Kluyveromyces lactis: one gene and its partner. The protein of the gene in region 2 purifies or fractionates together with the protein of the main gene of each other region. This does not show direct contact. Links are inferred from orthologs where the notes say so. Each region holds a gene or a part of one and is shown on either strand. Other genes may lie near its edges. The genes, in order: KAR4 and MUM2.

Evidence for each region.
Region 1: the proteins of MUM2 (region 2) and KAR4 purify together in Saccharomyces cerevisiae (affinity purification with mass spectrometry; 3 studies listed by BioGRID, with this or other methods). This does not show direct contact. The link is inferred for Kluyveromyces lactis from reciprocal best matches to the Saccharomyces cerevisiae genes MUM2 and KAR4.

What each region holds. Positions count from the first base shown.
Region 1 is NC_006039.1:48,599-51,127, reverse strand, and holds KAR4 (Kar4p), read right to left. Parts: upstream 1,617-2,529; coding exon 645-1,616; downstream 1-644. Other genes in the region: KLLA0_C00715g (uncharacterized protein), read left to right, coding at 1-458; KLLA0_C00671g (uncharacterized protein), read left to right, coding at 2,089-2,529. UniProt on the Saccharomyces cerevisiae protein: Component of the MIS complex, a complex that mediates N6-methyladenosine (m6A) methylation of meiotic mRNAs and is required for initiation of meiosis, progression through the meiotic divisions and sporulation.
Region 2 is NC_006042.1:1,720,120-1,723,155, reverse strand, and holds MUM2 (Mum2p), read right to left. Parts: upstream 1,423-3,036; coding exon 610-1,422; downstream 1-609. Other genes in the region: 3-deoxy-7-phosphoheptulonate synthase ARO3, read left to right, coding at 1-148; ubiquitin-specific protease UBP14, read right to left, coding at 2,106-3,036.

The DNA of each region.
Region 1 (2,529 bases), on a different chromosome or scaffold from region 2:
TGGAAGATGATGGTTTATTCTACTTACAATACGCCGGATTGAGAAAGCCATGGCAATACGAAGATTTGATCTGGGGTCTTTTCATGAACAAGTATATTTTCCCTGGTGCTGACGCTTCTACACCGTTAGATTTTGTCGTTTCAAAATTAGAAGCTACTGGATTTGAGGTCGTTTCGATTGATAATATCGGTGTTGATTACTCCGCAACTTTATGGAGATGGTACAGAAACTGGATTGGCCATAAGGACGATGTTGTCAACAAGTATGGGATGAGATGGTACAGAATCTGGGAATTTTTCCTAGCATACTCCACTATTATTTCCAGACAGGGCTCTGCCACCTGTTTCCAAATTGTCTTGAGAAAGAATTTGAACGCTTACCATAGAATTAACTATGTACCAAAACAAAAAGGTTTATTGACTCCAATCAAGGAAGGTGTTGAACAATGGTTCAAATGAATAAAATGCCTTTAACTGATGTTTTTATTCATTCAAAATAACCGGCCGATTTTGGGAATGGAGATTGTATTGATAATGACCACAGTGACTAGACATAAAACACATGACACATATCGTATGCCTCGTTCAAATCAAGACCTTAGCCCTTCTGAATGCAAATTAGAAATTACAAGCTTATATATACCATCAATTTTTAATAGATATTGGAGATTTTGGTCTTAATGACTCTATGGAGGGATCTTTTGGCAGGTTCGATCCAACTCTTCCAACCTCATTTTTATATTCCATAGCGTTGAAGTTGTCTAGCAGTACATCTGGACCCATGATAACCCAACCAGGTCTCATCCGGATTGGTGTTTCACTTCCTGTTCTGGCGGGAACGATATGAAGTCTCCTTGTAGCGGTGCTAAAATTCTCTGCTACCTTGTACAATTGATTCGGAATTGCCCCAACTTTACTATTTTTTGATTCGATTGCTAAATCGGTATCAATGTTGCAATGTATGAGATGGCCATCCGTGGCTCTTCTTACTGTTCCTGTGATACACATCCAACAATGCCATTGCATCTTTTCAAAAAGTGACTCGTCGTCTGCTTCTAATCCGGGGTAAAATGGTGAATTCTTGTTGACAGGGACGAAAACCAACTCCTCACTTCTGCGAAACTTTTTTGCCCATATTTCGTTGTTCAAAAGTCTTGAAAGCTCATTGATCTTCTGTGCACTTCCCCATACAAATAAAAACCCTGGCTTTGATATCAATTTATGTATCGGTAACTGAGTTAAAAGGGGATAGATAAATTGATTATCAGTCAAGCAACCAATCATGACAACATCGAAAGTTAAACCATCTTTTTGTACCCAATCATTTAATGTGGGAACTATTTCATCAAGCTCTACCTTGCAACCAAATGGTTTTGTATTAAACTGCATTACCTGCCTTTCCTTCAGGCTAAATAGCCTCTGCAACTTCGGATATCCATCAACAGTATTCTCAATGTTTCTTACGTGGGTTTGGGGAAGCGATCCAGTATGTATATAGTTATTTGAATGATCATTCGTGTGAAACTCATTTGCAGGCCTAAGTGTGACATGTTCTCTCGCTACGCTCTTACTCGAATTCCCCTTTTTCTGATATATTTCCTCTAAAACCGCCGACATTTCAGCAGCCAGTTATAGTTTTATCCTGAGAAAAGTACTAGAAATAAGTGTATACTTGAAACAAAAGTGCTTTCCATATGAGTATAAATACTACTGTGTGAAATTGGGTTTTAGCAGATGATGCCTTGTACTAGCACTAGAAATGTGTCTTTTAATTGTTACTCATAAGAATATTTTGCCGCCGTTTATAAAGGATTTTCATTCTTGACATATGTTCGCGTTTTCCGTTAGAATGAAAGTTTCAATCTGAAACTATCAGTGACAAAAAGAAGCGTCAAAACAAAAAAAGAAAAAAATTATTTTCTTCGCTGTCGCAGGTTTATGTCAAGCCTTTTGGTTCAACAGACACTAGGAATAACAGCAGATTTGAATTTCCTGTCACAAAATGTTTGGTTTGGGTTTGACCTGTGTTTTGAATTACAGCATTTGATATTTCCTGTTCGAGAACGTATTATCTTCAAAAATATAGAGCATGCACACGATACACGCAGTCGATAGTGAGATTGGCATGTTATATAGTATCTCTTCTGGGGAAAAAGATCTATCTAAAAAGTCTAATGATCTTTTAGAAAACGTTGGACGGTACACTGAAAACTTAGTCATAGATTTGAATGTACTTCGAGAAATCCAAGTTATCAATGATACTATTCTAAAATCAGAAGCTTTTTTGGAAGCAGTAGTTGTGCAGAACGGTGGTGAAAACCCTGTGTTCCAGTATTTGCATGATATCGAAACAAAAAGCAAGGGTCCTTTTGACCCAGAAAGCAGATCAATTATGCAAGAGATAGTTTATAAAACTGTTTCGAGTAGGTTTGAGTTCAACAAGATATGGTTACCAAAATTTTTCCTGAAAGTACCAAAGTCATTCAGTGCAGGTGTAATTTTGCAAGAACAATTTTTGGTAAGTTTATGG
Region 2 (3,036 bases):
ACAAGACGTTCCTCCAGAAGGTGGCCGTGAAAAGTTGATTTACGGATGTTCTATCACCGATGCCTGTATCGGTTGGGAAACAACTGAAGATGTTCTAAGATTATTGGCAAAGGGTGTTAAAAACAGAAGAGCTCTTTCAAAGGCTTGAATAACAATCACTTTTCCCGCATCGTTTTTGTAATACCTCATAATCTTCTTAAACACACAATCACTTCTTGAAAAGATAGCCAAACTCAGGTAACTGGAAGAATAAACGGCCAACCAATATTTATTTTCCGAGCCTCCTCATGTACATATTACAAGGACAAGTCCGCATACAGTTTATTTAATCAACTAAAATTACTTCACATAAAGGTCTACACTTTGTATGTTCAAGTTTCTCTAATCGTAAGTTTCTAACGTCGGATGAAATAAATATCAATGGTTCATTTACATTTTTGTGTGTCAGCAAAGTATACCTAATCTAGGTAGATGTTATATAGCATACATGTATCTTGAATTACTCTCGAAAGTTTTTAGATCGTCAAATAAAACGTCCAACTAGAATGTCATTGGCAGAAAAAAGCAAAAATATCAGAAAAAGAAGGATCAAGATCTTATACTTTGGTGTTACTTTTCTTGCTGTAGAATCCTTAGTCTTTCTTTGAGTTCTTGGTTTTCTTTACGTAAAAGTTCGAGCTCGATACTTGTCTCCTTCACTCGACCATAACTAAGCATTTTTGCCATTTCTTCGTTTTCCTTCATTAAAGTTTCCAATCGAGTTACCATTTTATGTGCTAAAGCTTCTTCGTCATATCTACCAAACTTTGTAGTAGAATTTGAAGGGTTAAGCGCAACCGCTGTAACTATTCCTTCTAGTCGTCTTTTTGTTTCTTGTAATTCTTGGTCCTTTCTCTTTAATGAATCTGATAACTTACAAAATATTATTTCCAGGGATGCCGGTATCTGGATTTCAGAATCGAAAGTAAGAGCCTTTGATTTCTTCATTTTCTGCTCTTCTTGCTGCTTGAAAGTCAAACCCTGATTGAATACCTCCTTCAATTTTTTTATCTCTATTTCTAACGATTCTATCTGTGTCTCTTTCAACTGTAGTTCAAGTTTGAAGTTGTCTGATGATGGCTCTGTTTCAGAGTCGAAAGTGGTATTGAATCCTGAGCTTTTAGCATATGATGATCTGTCCATTATTACCGTGTTATTTGAAGAGCTTCCAGGATGCGTGTTTGACGAAATGCCTCTCGAGGACTCTATCTCGGGCGAATTATGTTGTTCTATGAGCGGCTGTTCCCAATATGATGACATGCTGCTCCTATGAGTAGAAGATCCGCTCAAATGGCCCTGAAGTCCTTGGTTATAGTGGGAGCCCATACCATCAATGTTCCCATGTAAGCTGAAGCTACCTCCATGTGCCATGCTGGAGTTCATGACATTGGCGGTTGTGCCATACAATTTGGACTCGTCAGAACTACCAAAATTCAGATTGGCGAAAGAGTTATCCAAACTCTGTTGGTTATATTCAGGTTGCTACACGATAACATTGACCTGTTAGTAAAAGGTTAATTATGAGTTAGAAACATTTATAGTCTCAATTTGGTTGTTCCATGTTTCATAGAAAACAGGGACAGACAGAAACAGTATTGATTAAAAATGTGTCATGTAGGCAATCCTCCAATGTATGCAAAAACTTACGTAAGACATATATCCGTTTGAATTCATGGTTTTAAAATAACTTATGGTTTGTTGATCGTTTTTGGAAGATTGTGTGACTACTTACTTGGTAACAAGTGTTCTGTCACTGGTAAATAATTGATCTAGTTTGCTTTATTTTTAAGGGCAGATCTGACATGTTTCATTTTCAGGGAATCATGAAGCATATTCACGTGACTTGCAATGGCTGGACACAACTGCCTCCAGACAGGAACCGCTATAAATAGGAATAAGCCCACCATACTGTATTGAATTGAGTCATGTACGAGGATATATATGTATATATGGACACACAACCATATCGTTGAATACCCAATGCAGATAGGAAGGTGGGCAAGTCCTATTTTTTTAGAGTTTCATGTTGTGATGCATGTCTCTTTTATTTAGAGAGGAGATGCCTCTTATTCTTCAAGGTTGAAGAAAAACATGTAGCCATTCTTTTCTATGTCCTCGAAATTTGGTTCATCGTTGGCCAAGAGAATTTTTTCATCGTTGTAGAGAACCCATTGTTCTTTTCCTTCGACCACTTTCTTAATAAATGCAACGTAATGGCCACTGTGAACTGAATTACCTTTATGGCATATGACAGCAGTCAGTTTATACTTAGCAGAGGCAATTGACGATGCTGGGATTCCAAAACTTTTTCTGGATTGATCCTTCCATTCCTCAGCTTCAGGTAACTCCCCGTCGTCATCCATATGGGAGAAAACCCATTCTACACTGGCATTGACGTCACCATTCTTCAATATCAAAGCTTTGCGGCATAGTTTCGAATCAAGCCCCATAGCAGTCATACTGTTTAGTGCTTCTGAATCGACACGATTTTTCGCTGAGGATGAAGCATGAGGATCAAAGGCCTCGTTTAAGTTAGGGTCCTCCATATGCTGGAACAACCATTCCGTGGCTGCATTAGGGTCAGAGTTTCCCGTTTCAAATAATGCTCTTTTGGTAGCATTGCGAGAGAATCCCATCTGTTCTAATTGTCCTAGGAACAATTCGTTGAATTGGAAGGAATCTGATTCCTCTTCTTCTTCGACTTCTTCCCCTTCGCAAATTCCTGTAGCTTTGAATGGGGACATATCTAGTAAAGCATCATCGCGTACACCAGGTACCACAACTTGCTCTGATGTCTTGCTTGGCTGCCAGTTGATTAACTCAATTCTAATCGGGTTTATGATAAGTGTACGTGGGAAACTAGAGAACCCTGGTACTTTTGATGCAGTGTTAATTTTCTTATTGGTGAGACAACGGTATTCAATTTTTTCCCCACTGAAGTAATCATTTAACCTGTCAATTAGATTTTGCTCCCCGTCTAGTTTTCTTAATGGAAGC